Linked DNA regions of Stegostoma tigrinum. The protein of the gene in region 2 interacts with the protein of the main gene of each other region in a pairwise test. Links are inferred from orthologs where the notes say so. Each region holds a gene or a part of one and is shown on either strand. Other genes may lie near its edges.

Region 1 (7,395 bases), on a different chromosome or scaffold from region 2:
GGCTTTGAGTTATTAACAAGCAGCAAAGTTGATGGCACTAGAGGTTCAAGTGGGTGAGATCCATTACAGAATGATTGAATTAGACAGCAGAGCAATATGCAAATGCTTTTAAATATATTTGCTGCTATTGTGTGATTTACCACTAATTTTAAAGCCATCAGCTTTAAAAAACACATCCTGGGATTTATGACTTAGAGACAAGTAAGGACTGCAGATGCTGGAAGCCAGAATCAATATATGAGAAGCTGGAAAAGCACGGGTCAGACAGCATCGGAGAAGCAAGAAAGTCAATGTTTCTGACGAAACGCTGACATTCCTGCTCCTCAGATGCTGTCTGACCTGCTGTGCTTTTCCAGCTTCACATCTATTGACTTGGGATTTATATTGTCTTTAACATAATGAAATGGCCCAAGGTGCTTAACAGGAACATTACAAAACGACATGAGTGATATCACGTAGAGATATTAAGGAACACAACCAAAACCTTGGTTAAAAAGGTACATTTCAAGTAATATCTCAAGGTTGGAAAGAGGCACCAGGAGAGAATTTTGGAACATGTGGCCCATGTAACAAAGGGCAAGGTTACCAAGAGAGGAGTAATTAAAATAGGGATTGAAAACTGAAAGAACTGTGGGATGCTTTAAATCAGAAACAAAAATAGAAATTGCTGGAAAAACTCAGCGGGTCTGGAAGCATCTGTGGACAGAATCAGAGTTAATGGTTCATGTCGATTGTCCTTTCCTGAAGCTGTGTAATTCAAAGGACTGACTTCTGCAGGGCCCGAGCATCTCTGGTTTGTTGTATTGATTAAAGGCAAGATTAGTTGTGAAAACTAGAGCAGAATAGAGAGATAGGAAAGGGAAGAACATGGAAAAATTTGAAAGTGACAATGAGATACAACTTAACCAAAAACCAATGTGGACCAGTGAACACATTGGGACAGTGGGTGAATGGGACTTAATACAATGGGCATAAGGCAAAGGTGCCAAAGTTTTGGGCAATCTCAAATTTACAAAAATTGAATGTGAATGGCAAGCCAAGAGTGAATGACACACTATAACTCCTATTGAGAGGATTCACCATTCTACCAGAACATGCTGTGAAGTAACAGCATAAATCACTCCAGTTCAATTTGCATTATTCTGTTAAATCTTAAAATTTTGACAGCATAGCTGTTTATTTTAATTGATATAAAAAGCTAGACTTTACTATATTATAACTACCCTTCCAATCTAACAATTCAGAAGATGCTTTAAACTACAATGCCTCAATATCTTTGTGCACATTATTTGTTAGTCTCAGAGCACAGAAACAGTCCCCTTGGTTCAACTTGTCTGCACCAACCAGGCATCCCAATCTGACCTAGTCCCGCTTGCCAGCATTTGGCCCACATCCCTTGAAACCCAATCCTATGCATATACAGTATATTCATACACCCCATCCAGATGCCTTTTAAATGTTGCAATTGTACCCGCCTCCACCACTTCCTCTGACAGCTCGTTCCATACACGCACCACCCTTTGCGTGAAAAAGTTACCCCTCAGGTCCTTTTTAAAATCTTCTCCTCTCACCTTAAACCTCTGGTTTTGGGCACCCTCATCCAAGGGGAAAACAGCTTGGCCATTCACCGCATCCACGTCCCTCATGATTTTAAAAGCCTCTTTAAGGTCAGCCCTGACCTCCCCTCCCCTTCCCTTCCCTTCCTCAGTCCTGAAGCACGCATTTTATCTAATCTGCAGCGCACTCTCGGCTCTTACTTAATCTCATTCATGTAGTTTACTGCATACGCAGTGTGCAAAACTGTGTTTTAATTAATGTACTGAGCCTGACTGCGAAATAATACAACACAGGGCTCAGACTGCGTCCGTTTAATATTTAGGTAAAATATATCAACTACATGAACCGTTATATTACGTGAACTGCATGCTGTCCCATTCTGACTCTAGGCATGTCATGGTTACCATCAGATGTTCACAAGCCAGCTGTTATTTGATCATCGGAAAGCCATAAATTTAAAAAAAACCAAAGTTGAAAATGCAGGTGGCACATTTAAAAAGAAGCCAGTGAGAAAGGGTTCCCTCCACCCACAATGGGTCTAAGCTACCTGAGCTGAAAATGGCGGGAGGGAGGCATGAGGAAATCGTGTCTGTCTTCCCCCTTATCGCCTTCTTAGATTTTAAACAGTTAAATTAGATGCAATTTTAATTTTAAGACCACGAAGCCAACGCCCAGCTTATTTTCCCCTTTCTGCCCACCCGCCCATCCACACTTGTCTCAGTGAACAATAGCTGACCAGCAGCGTGGGGGCGAAATGAAAATACAGAACGCAGCCTCGCTGTGCAAACAGCTGAACAAAAACAAGCCCTGCGTTTAGCAATAAAAATTTGTGAATGAGAGTGAAGGTGGAGGGTGTGCAGTTACTCACTCACCATTTGCCGAGCTACTTCAGCCGCCGCCATTGTCGATCCGCTGGTGACAAGAAGCTCGCGGACCCCAGCCACAGGCACTGGATACATGTTGGCCGCTACCACTGCGCTCAAAGGGGGGGGTGGGGAATGAGGGCAGCTACAGCCTGACTCTGTCCACCACAAACACGGTTTGTTCGCTTGTTTACTCGCTGTCAGCACGCCACACACCTTACAATCCCGATTTGCTTTTTAGCCACCAGTTGCCTTCCCCAGTATCGTCAAAATTTTACCAGCTTGTCGACAGTATCCCCTGTTTCGAGAATGATAGCGTCCCCCGTTAGACACATTGTTGCAAGAATAGCGGAAGCGTGAAGTATCATTTTTTGCTCTGATTTGACGAAATGTTATTTTCTCGGTTTAAAGAGATTGAGTGTAGTTCCTTCATAAACAACCCCCACTTGCAGCTTTATTTAAACACTTATTCAAGTGCCTTAAAATGGTTATTTCCCAATGCTTTAAACTTCTAAAAACTACGGTATTTATACATTATAAGTCGCAAATTTCAAATTGAAAAAAATTTGCGAGGAAGCGATTCGCTTGGCGCATTTTTCTTAACAATGCGTTTCTTTTTAAGAATTGCTGTGCAAATTATGCTGTTGATGTAGAGCAGGTGCGGAAAAGCCAGTATTTTTGCTGTCGTAAAGGCGGCGTCATTGTTACCTCAGTGCGTTACAAGTTTTTTTTAAAAAGTCAGTTGTCTTCTCCTCCCACAAAACTCAGTGGGTGATATATGCACAGGGCAATACAGCGACTAGCACCTACGTTTAACTTCAAAGATACCTAATCTTTAATGTCTAAGTGAATTGACGCACGCTAAAGATTTAGACGCGACTTCATTTACCTCCTACTGTAAGCAGTGACTAATCCAATATGTCACCGGGTGATTCACCCTTCCACTGGACACAATAAGGCGCGTATTTTATTACCTTTTTATAGAAATGCGTCTCTTTTATTTAAATATGAACAATCTTAATTTAATTTCTTACCAGAGAAGAAGGGGTGATTGAAGATAGAACAACAGTTTGCAAGGCTGGTTGAATCAAGGGCACTTTTTGAGTGGAAAATGGCAGAATTTGAGAGAGACAGCAAAAAGAGATACGCATTCACAATATTATTTGACAAGGCGACTAGGAGGGGATGATGGTGACCCCCAGTTTGATAAGAATGGCATTGAAGGAACACGGGATGGATCTGATGAAAAAGGTGACCTTACAGAGGGCTGGAAGAAAAACTCAAGAAGATGTGAGTTCTAGACCAGAACAATGAGAAAGTTTGGCCAACTAAATTCTGGCAAGTGAGTCTACATAGTTTAGGATATCTGGTCGCAACAGATGAGTTGGACCCAAGGGTCTGTTTCCGTTCTGTATAAGCCATGATTCTATGAATCTATGAGTTGGGCAATTGAAAGCAATGCTGTAACAGAGACATGTTATAAGATGGTCTTAGTCTCAAGAGTTTACCTTGCACACTGGGATTATCCTGAAACAGTGAGCAGATTTAGCAGATGACAACAGAACTTGATACTGCTTTCTGTGGTCTAACAGATCTGGCAGTGGGTAGCTAAATAATTTTCCACTATATCTTTATAAGGCTTTTCCCCATGGGCTTGAGGAATGGAGATTAGGGCCATATGAAACACAGAAGTGCCAGTTTGAGAGCGAGCACTGGTTTTATTGGGCATTAAGTATGGAGGTGAGGGTGAAGTTTAGCTATTCAGGTGACAGCAGAAATATTGTAGTGAATGGAGGAACCAGGGACTAGGCAATTATGTAGCATGTAGACAATCCTATCCAGGTTGTTTCACCACCACTGCATATCGCAAAGCATTTGAAATAACAAGGTGTAGAGCTGGATGAACACAGCAAGCCAAGCAGCATCAGAGGAGCAGGAAAGCTGACATTTCGGGCCTAGACCCTGCTTCAGAAATCTTTCTGAAGCAGGGTCTAGGCCCGGGACCTTAGCTTGCCTGCTGCGTTCATACTTTCTGGTGATGTCATCATTGTATTGTAGGAAAGACAGCAGCTAATGTGCACACAAAAAGCTCCCTTAAACAGCACTGTGATAAAGGACCAGATTTTTATTCTGATACTGATGAACAGATGAATATGGGCACAAGGGATAACTCCACTGGCACTTCCTCAAACAGTACAGTTTGATCTTTTATATCCAGCTGAAAGGATAGATAGGATTAACATCTCATCTGAATGATGGCACCTCTCGTAATGCAGTATTCCTTTGGAGCCTTGAAGTTTAAGCTCCAATCCTGGAGTGGGATTTGAGCCCACACCCTTATGACTCTCACTGAGAGCGCTACCAACTAGCACTACCACAGCCATACATCAGCATATGTCCTGATGGCGGGTTCTGGGCAGGAGGCCAATGCAAAAGGCAGCAAGGCTTCATACTCTGAAGCACAGCATGCACAGACTCAGTGAAAAGGACTGTAATTTGAGCACATTTTAAAGATAATTTCATTCTTATTCCGGACTTTGAGTAATTTGAGTACTTTTTATACTTCGTATTCCTATGCTAGACTTTTTTAAAAACTCTTTCAATTCTGTAACAAACACTTAAGAGTCTGTACCTAAGATGGCACCAGAGTGACAACATTACAAATTTTTCACTGCATTCATCCAAATGCTTGTGACAATAAAGGCTATACTATTCCATTCTAAGTCAGCATCTTCAGCAACAATGAGAAAATGTAGCTGCTGGGGGATGTAACAGTTCAACCAAATTGCTGCTGTTATATTGTGATACAGCAGCTTCAGGCTTGGATTATTGTGGAAATGCCATTAAGGAATTGGAGACCAAATGAAGGCAAGCAATTTGTGCCTGACCTCACAGCAACTTATCTGTACAAAATAAATAGGGTTTATTGACTGTGTACCAGGTTAAGAGTGAGTGTGGGGCAGATAGTTTCAATATAACTGTTGCCTAATTTCTAATTAGTTTCAGTGTTCCCACTCAATACAATTTGCTTTATATACACCAATACCCAGAACTAGAACTAACCGATATCAATTGACTGTGTAATTTACTTTCAAGTTCTAAGATCACCAATGTTTGCCTCATCAATTATTCTCTGCTATTCCAAATAGATGGACATGGGATCATTTATTTGATCTTTGAGTATTTGAAGTCATTTCATAACATAGTCTGTGCTATAAAGTGTCTACAAATATTGGGTAAGGTAATAACAATTATGCTGCCTTTCATTGACAAATACCATGATGAAGTCCAGGGCTGGCACCTGTATGGTAGCAAATGAAAATAATCCTTTCAGAAAGTGGGGAGAAAGTTGGCAGTGAAAAAAAAAGGTTAAAGGTTTTAAATTTATGGCATTGATTTCAATTAAATGTCATAGAGTTTTCACAGCACGGAAGGAAGACTTTCAGCCCATGTTGATTTATGCTGGTCATCAAACAATCATCTACAATAATTCCATTTGTCAGCACTTGACCCATAATCTAGTAAGATATGGCATTTCAAGTGTTCATCTAAATAGCTCTTAAATATCTTAAAGCTTCCCACCTCTAGCACTTTTCAGGCAAACAACATGAAACAACTACTACGTTTGGGTGGAAAAACCTAAAATCCCCTCTAACCTCATGCCCCTTAACTTAAAACTGTGCTCCCTGGTTATTGACCCTTCTATGGAGGGAGAAATATTTCCCCTATATTCCCTACATTAAACAATCCATGCAGTTATCTAGTCACTTTACATGTTCCTGTCCAGGCAACATCCTCTTGTTCTTCTGCACCTTTTCTAGTGCAATTACATCCCTCTGATGGTTTGACACCCAGAGCTGTACACAGTACACCAGCTGTGGCCTAATTAATATTATATACAACCCCATCATAGCCTACATGCTCTTGTATTCAATGCCTTGACCAATGAAGGCAAGAATCCCATATGCCTTCTAATGATCATTCTTAATCTGTCCTGCTGACTTCAAGGATCCATGACATGCAAACCAAAGTCTCTTTGTTCAGCAACACCAGCCAGGACCCTATCATTAAGTCTATAACCTGGTTTGCCTTAGCAATATGCAACACCTCACAAAGAAGATTGATGAAGCCATAGCAGTGAACATTGTCGATATAGACGTCAAGGTTTCGCAGGGTAGACTAATTAGCAATGTCAGATTACATAGAATCCAGGGAGAGCTAGCTATCTGAAAACAAAATTGGCTTGAAGTTAAGAGACAAAGGGTAGAGGTGAAGAGTTTTTTGGACTGGAGGCCTGTGACCACTGGTGTGCTGCAAGGATCAGAACTGGGTACCCAACTTTTTGTCATTTATGTAAATGATATAAAGGAGATATGGTTAGTAAATTTGCAGATGACACCAACATTGGTAGATAAAGAAGAAGGTTACATCAAATTACAATGGGACATTGATCAGATGGGACAAGGGCTGAGGAATGGCAGATGGAGCTTAATTTAGGTAAATGTCAGGTGCTGCATTTTGGAAAGGTAAATCAGGGCAGGACTAATACACTTAATGATAAGGTCCTGGGGGGTGTTGCTGAACAAAGAGACCTTGAAGTGCAAGTTCCTTGAAAGTGGAGTTGCAGGTAGACAAGGGTGTGAAGAAAGCATTTTGTAGACTTGCCTTTATTAGTCAGTGCATGTTATGTTGCATTTGTATCGGACATTAGTTAGGGCACTTTTGGTCTACTGTATTCAATTCTGGGGTCACCCTGCTATAAGAAACATGTTGTCAAGCTTGAAAGGGTGCAGAAAAGATTTTCGAGGATGTTGCCAGAGTTGGAGGGTTTGAGCTGTAGCGAGAAGCTGAATAGATTGGGGCTATTTTCCCTGGAGTATCAGCGGTTGAGGCGTGACCCTATAGACAATTATAAAGTCATGAAGGACATGGATAGACTGAAGCCAAGGTCTTTTTGCCGGGGTAGGGGAGTCCA
Region 2 (7,839 bases):
GACATTCAATGTTTTGGCCTCAACTGCTTTCTGCGGAAGAGAGGATCACTGCTCTCTGGGTGAAGAAATTTCTCCTTATTTGGATAAGTAACTCAAAGATCTGGTTCTAGTGGCCAGGAAGGAAGCACACAAAATACTTAAAGGAATGGTAACCCACTGAAACCCAGACACTTTTTGTTTCAATAATATACTTTATTCAAAAAATATTGTTATGCACATACATAATCACTGAAGCAGTTTGGTTCACATGAAGAAACAAACAAACATTGGAGTTTGACTCTATCCAACAAACAACCCAAAGGCACGTCATACTTGTACAAGACTATATTTATATATACTTGAGGCATCTGGAGGGTCCTACAACCATATGGACCCCCACTTAACTTTAACAGAAATCCTTTAGACAATGGTGATTCCCCATGGCACATTGGCGGTAGCTGCCCAAAGCTTTTGTGCATCCATCAGCACACAGTCGGAGACCTTGGAACGTATAGTCTGCAACACTCGCTCAGGGTCAACTCCTTGCTCTGGAAGGGCTAGCAAGTCTCAAGCAGATGAAAGAGCATCTTTCACCAAATCGATAGTCTTCCAGGTGCAATCGTTGTTTATCTCTGTGCGTCCCAGGGAGCAGACTGTAGAACACAGAGTCCTTCATCATAGAGCTGCTCAGGATGAACCTTGACAAAAACTACTGCATGTTTCTCCAGATTTCCTTTGTAAAAACATGTTCCAGAAGGAGATATCTGACAGTCTCTACCCCCAACCCAACACCCGGCAGCCAGTTTGAGGGCAGCGTGTGGTGGTGCAGAGTCTGGGCATACATGAAGGATCTCACAGGCAGTGCCCTTCTCAGTGGCCAGGTGATATCTTGGTGCTTGTCAGAAAGTTCTAGCCATGTCAGTCATTTGGCAGAATGCTTCAATCTGTTCAGGGAACAACTTAACAGAATCCCAGACTACTAATCCAGAGACACAAGTTCAAATCCCATCACTGCAAATCAGAATTGAATTCATTCAAATTCTGGAATAACAAGATTATCTCAGTTGTGATGATCAGGAAACTATGGGACTGTTGTTAAAAAATAAAAGAGGTTCCCTAATGTCCTTTAAGGAAGGAAACCAGCTGCCTTTACCTGGTGTGGCCTATTTATTTCCAAAATATCTATGCTCCTCAAATTCGGCCACAAGTATCCCTAACTTTAAAATCACTAGATGGTTGATGATCACACCTTCCAGTTTCCAAGACTCCAGGTTTTGGATTTCCCTCCTTAAACCTCTTTAACTTGCCACCTGATTTGTCTCCTTCTGTATATAACATGTTAAGAAATGTCCTAAAATTTCTCTCTCTGGGAAATATTTTCTCATGTGGCTCAGAATATTTTGTTCTAAAAATGCTGTGAAATTCTTTGGAATGCCTTGTTATGTCAAAAGCACTATACAAGTACAAACATAAAGTGCTGGATAACCCCAGGTCTGGCAGCATATATGGCTGTTAATTTACATTTGAGAAGATAACTTAAGGAAATAAACAATTAATGTTGGCCTTGCCAGCAATTCTGACATTCTGAATGAATTTTAAAAACGTAAGTATCTCAAAAGACAATTCAGTGCTGAATGATCGTGAAGACACTCTTCAATCACAATTCTACATCACAAAGTTCAAAAAGTACTTTCTTGGCTGCAAAGTACTTTCAGTACCTTCAGGGTGGTGAAAAGTGCTGCATAAATGCAAGTCTTTCTTTCTGGCTCCCAGGATAAGCAAACTGAACTAAAGAACTCTGCCAATGATGCAGCACTGTTCAGAGTCTTAGGCTATACTATCACAAGGAACATCTACTGTGGTGACTGGATGTCAAAGACTTTTGTTTTGCAACACAGCTTTTAAAAGCAAACGTTGGAAGATCTATAGACTCACCAGCCAACACAACGTGAGGTGGAAGGGTGGGTAAAACAAATCATTCTTATCACTAAATACAACAGTCAACAAACTTTATGCAATTCCACTACACATAGCAACTAGAAAAATAACTTGTGATGCTATGGCATCTTTCAGAATAACTAAATGCTTCACAGCCAACGTGATACCATTTAGAAGTGTAGTCATTGTTGTGAATCATGGCAGCCAAAAGCACACTGCAAGCTCTTACAAACAAAGTGATAATATCTAGATCATTTGCTTTAGGTGTTGGTGAAGGGATAAATATTGACTCAGCGCACCAGGGAACACTCCCCTGCTCGAGTAAATTGGTGGAATGGGATCTTTTACACCCGCTGAGGACATCTTGGCTCTACTTCTCAATGTCACATGTGAAAGGTGTTACCTCTAATATCACAACACTCCCTCTGTATGGCATTGGTAACATAATCTTTCATATTATATACGCAGATCTCTAGATTTGGCATTGCACCCAAAAACTTACCTCAGAAGTGAAAAGAACTATACACCGGCTCTCAATTGGTACCTCAGAATATGCACAGAAGGAAGATGCCATCCTCCATCCCTGGTCTGAGATTAGGGAGAAACTGACCTCAGCATCACTGAATTAAAATAGGTGGGAGAAGGGGGAAGGCAGAAATCACTTCTTTTCATTGGTTGTTCTGGAAAGTCAATACTTGAACGCACACGTCTGGTCAGGAACATGATCAGGCTTATAATACACTGCCCTACATAGCCAAATATCTAACAAACATTCATTATCCAATCTCGCTCATCAAAAATGGGCAACTTACATCCCCTCAAACAGCAAACGCCTAGTGTCCTTATTTTTAAACTAAAAACACAGATGTAGAAATAAGTGAATCAAGTATAAATTTGGACTTAGCAATAACGTACAGGAGGAAAAAATCTGAATGGCCTACCAGCTGAGAATTCAAATTCGGGGGGGGGGGGGGGGGACAGAAAAGAATAACAAAAAGAAACACTGATGCTGAAAATGGACTCTTTTAAAGCTTTTTTTAAAAAAAGTGCCTACTCACCCTGTAGTGCTAAACAGCCTGTGGATCATGCAACAGGGAGCCAGGTTTAAATTGATGAATATTCAGCTCCCAGGCCCTGCCTGAGTCAGACATGTCCTCCTGACACAGACCCCACACCCCTCAACAACGCGCTCCTTCATTGGTGTCCTCCCCACCACTGGCTCCGTTACCCTTGGCAACGGCCTTGAGGCGGCTGGCTGCCATCTCTGTGAGGGGCAGAAGCAGCATTTATGTATTGTAAATATGTCATTTATCGGTGCACAGAGCCGGGGATTTATGCAGATTTTAAGTTATTTTAATTTGTACAATACGCTGGCGAAACGGTGATGCCTACAATTCGGTTTTGTTCTTAAAACGATGCAATTATCTGAAGGCGTCCATGTCTGAGCGGGGCATATGGAGTGGCCCTGTGAGTTTTTTTTGTGAATGATTATTTTGATTGCTCAAGCAAAGTTCTTGAGTTGTTTCCTGATGGAGGGTGATTGAGCTCGAAGCGTTAGCTCTGTTTCTGTATCCCTAGATGCTGCTTGTCTGACCTGCAGTGCTCCTCCAGCCACACATTTTTTCAACTACTGCCAGACCTGCTGAGTTTTAACAGCCTTTTTGGCTTTGTGTACACAGATCTGCCCAGTCTCAGTAATTTAAAATGAAACAAGCCACTTCACTGCTTGCTTCCATTATTCAGTTGCGTATGCAGCAGAACATCCCTGCATGCTCCATGACCACCATCATCCTCAGCCCCTTTGCCCATACAAGTTGACATCACTAACCCACCAGCCACTCCATATCTTCCAGCTGAAGTTAAGTGGGAGTCTGTTCAGTTATCAGACCCTTCTGGTGCCTAAATGCATGTAAATGTAGTATTATGTATGTTACCGAGGTCTTGGGTGGTTTGCATAGTCAAACTCCAATGTTTGTTTGTTCCCTTGATATGCTACTGTACAGAACCGAATTGTATTTATGCAAAAAATTTTTAATGAACAAAGTATAGTTCTGAAATGAAAAAGAAACAGCCATTCCATGTACAAGTGTCTATTAGCTTCTAGAAACCCTCATATCTTGTATTGAAATGTACATAGTTTCTGGTCATATTTGATAAATGTTTTCCAATTTTTAGTTGTTTTGAGACAACGAAGAGTGCAAAGTTCTTGACTGAGAAATGTGATATTTTCATTGTATTTTCTGTAATATTGGCTTGAACTGTTTTGTAATTTACTTATAAATAATTTATGAATAAAGAATATATTTTCATGTAAACAAGAACACCAGCCACACCACCTATTCATGGCTGCTTACGGAACAACTCTCTTATTACATCAACACTTGCCTTTGGAGCTAAGGCAAAACTACAACTTCTGTGCTTCTGCCAGACCGCTTTGTGCACCTGGAAACACACGCATCTGCACTCAATGCATCTTAAGGCTCTTTGCTTGCTTTTTTAGTGTTCACTCACTTTGTGCTTACTTAGGCGCTGCTAGACTTTGTGGCTTCATTGCTGTTTAGCACAGAGGCAGAGGCAAGAAGCTTGTCAAAATAGGGAGCATTTGACAGTTAGCTACGTCAGCAACACACCTCCAGCATTTGGCAACAGTCTATGCGGCAAACACACTGCATGTGCTTCAAGCAAATGGGTGAGCCAACCCTATTACATTCTTTTCAACTGTCTGGATCATTATCACTGAACTGTGTCATCTGCTGGAACAGGACTTGGTGGAAATCCTGTCACAAATCCTGTCAGCAAGTTCATAGCTGCCTTGAATTTTTATTCCAGTAGCTCGTTTCAAGAAGCAACTGGGGATTAATGTGGTATCTTCCAATCCTCAATCCATGATACATCCAGGATATAACTGATGCTATTTTCTTCAGATCACAGTTGTTTGTGTCCTTCCCCAATGACTAGAAAAGTCAAACACCCTGGGTAGTGGGATTCTTTAGCATCACTGACTTGCCCCAGATGGCCCCTTTGCTTTGAGAGCATAATCGCACCAACTGGCAAGGTTCATCAACAGAAAAGGTTTCCACTCTTTAAATGCTCAAATTATACGTCGCCATCAACACTGAATCTGGGAGGTCCAAGCCAGATATTCTGGGAATGCTGTGACTCAAATGCACAGAGAATTCAGAAGTTTCTGCTTCCTTTGAATGTCCTTTAACCTTACAGTGGTAATTAACACAGAACATAGGACATTACAGCACATTACAGGCCCTTCGGCCCTCGATGTTGTGCTGACCTGTCATACCAATCTCAAGCCCATCTAAACTACACTATTCCATGTACGTCCATATGCTTATCCAATGACGACTTAAATGTACCTAAAGTTGGTGAATCTACTACCGTTGCAGGCAAAGCGTTCCATACCCTTACTACTCTCTGAGTAAAGAAACCACCTCTGACATCTGTCCTATATCTTTCACCCCTCAATTTAAAGCTATGCCCCCTCGTGCTCGCCGTCACCATCCTAGGAAAAGGGCTCTCCCTATCCACCCTATCTAACCCTCTGATTATCTTATATGTCTCAATTAAGTCACCTCTCAACCTTCTTAATGAAAACAGCCTCAAGTCTCTCAGCCTTTCCTCGTAAGACCTTCCCTCCATACCAGGCAATAATTGTTGGGAGACAAGGGTTTCCCCTCCAAACATGGCTCATGACACCTTTACACAACCCTGAGACTGATGCAGACAGTGCTGCTGACATCTCACCAGCAGCAGACTGTAGTTTCCTTGAAATGCAATCTTGCTGCTTGGACTGTCTGTTGGCTTTTCAGTATAGTCTTGAAGGTGTCTTGCGTCATTGTGGCATACTGGAGCCGAAAAACACAGGAATGTCCATGATGCAGAGGAAATAAGAGATCAACAGCAATCTTTTGAAGAGGAAGATGAGGATGTGGTTCTGGACATTTATAAGGAGACCCACCTCAGTCAGCAAGACAGAGCAGTGCATCTCTGAGTGTGTGAACCCAGGACGAATAAGCAGGGTTTGATGATTCCCATTAATCTGGGAAACAACCCCTGCCTAACGCAAAGGATGTGTGGATCCTGTTGCAATCCTTGAGCTTTTCTTGTGCTCGCTAAATGTCTTATTTTCATTCTGATTGTATACTTGCTCTCTTCAGGTGAAGCCACTTTCAAGTATCAAGTCACATTACATGTTGTATTGACTGTTAGGGAAAAGACAGAGAGTAACATCACATGGCACTAAAGTTAGGTGGCTCTTAAGTCAGCATATCATATCTGCACAGTGAATTCTGTCATTATATAATGGGAGGAACTCTGAGAAATTTTCTTCTGACCTTTCTGTCCTCAAGTAATCCTTCAATGTTCAACGTACATCCAGATTGAAAAGTTGACCTGAAGTGCTTGAGCATCTTGTAGGACAACTTTGAATTATGAGAAGAAATTTTTTTTTTCTGCCAAAGAAAGTGCATGGTATAATGAGGAAGATTGAACATGTGAAATGAACACTATACACCTCTCAGCTTTGAATGGCTGCATGCCCCCTTGAAAACCTGATGAAGACAAAAGGGCTTTCCCTACAGAGATGACTGAGATGTGTGGAAACATCACTGATTCTTTATTCTCACTCATGACGAGGTGCAAGAGTGAAATAGTTTTGCAGGCCAGACCCTAGTACAGTCTCTGCATACTGCGCTCATCCTCAGTGTTGTCTACATCGAAGTACACCAGGGCTGCAGTTATTAGTGCCACAATTCAAGGATCTGAGGCATCTGAATATTTCTGTAGTCAAGGAGTCAACTGCTTGTGACAGACGAATAATGTTTAGCCATCATACCTTTCTAGATGGATTAGCCGTGGAAAATGCAGGATTACAGGGATCGGGTACGGGGTGGGTCTGGGTGGGCTGCTCTTTGGAAGGTCAATGTGGATTGATGGGCCAGATGGCATGATTCCGCACTGTAGAGATTCTATGTCCGAACAGGCTTCTCAGACTTCACAGCTTACATGTAGTTTTTATGTTTGTTAGATGAGCTGATAATTAGAGTGAAGGTCATGTAAAAACAGAGATTCTCAGCAAGCTGCATGGGTTCTTGCATTGAATTGTCAGGAGCCCAGATCTCAGATGATTTTGAAGCAGGAACAGAAATTGCTGAAGAAAATCACAGGTCTGGCAGTATCTTTTGACCCAGTTCTGAAGCAGGGTCATTGGACTCAAAATGTTGACTCTGCTTTGTCTTCACACCTCTTGGGTTTCTCCAGCAATTTGTTTCAGATCTTCAGCATCTACAGTTCTTCATTTTATCTCAGATTAACTTAAAATCAGAACAGGTTGGGAGATAGTCCTTCTCTCACTTTCAATATATAACTGTTCATTACCTTGTTTGTAAAGTTATTTGTCTATCAGGTGCTTATTCTTATTCAGAACAGCTTCTGCTGTTATTTTTAAACGCAAATAACAAACATGGCCGTCTCATCTATTTCACTTGTTACAAGTCCAAACGCATTTTTTCTGAAGAAGGGTCCAGATCTGAAACATCAGCCTTCCTGCTCCTCTGATGCTGCCTGACCTGCTGTGTTCATCCAGATCTACACCTTGTTATCTTATTTTTGAATATGGTGGTATGTTAGCCTAAAATACATTCTGTTGTTTCAGACTTTGAGACATCCCAGGTCTTTGTGTTGGAATGAGTTCCATCGTAATACAATGAACCCTTCCGATTCTTACACCCATCCAGATGTCTTTTAAATGTTGTAATTGTACCGGCATCCACCACTTCCTCTGGCAGCTCATTCCAAACACGCACCTACCTCTGTGTGAAAAAGTTGCCCTTTAGGTCCCTTTTATATATTTCCCCTGTCACCTTAAACCTATGCTGTCCAGTTTTGGACTCACCCACCCCAAGGAAA

Evidence for each region.
Region 1: the proteins of morn4 (region 2) and septin6 interact in binary tests that used the Homo sapiens proteins (3 or more experiments, as listed by UniProt). The two-hybrid records come from large-scale screens. The link is inferred for Stegostoma tigrinum from reciprocal best matches to the Homo sapiens genes MORN4 and SEPTIN6.

Annotation. Positions count from the first base shown.
Region 1 is NC_081368.1:16,026,919-16,034,313, forward strand, and holds the start of septin6 (septin-6), read right to left. Parts: upstream 3,025-7,395; 5' UTR 2,517-3,024; coding exon 2,430-2,516; intron 1-2,429. UniProt on the Homo sapiens protein: Filament-forming cytoskeletal GTPase. Required for normal organization of the actin cytoskeleton. Involved in cytokinesis. May play a role in HCV RNA replication.
Region 2 is NC_081373.1:12,102,070-12,109,908, reverse strand, and holds the start of morn4 (MORN repeat-containing protein 4), read right to left. Parts: upstream 3,090-7,839; 5' UTR 2,976-3,089; intron 1-2,975. UniProt on the Homo sapiens protein: Plays a role in promoting axonal degeneration following neuronal injury by toxic insult or trauma.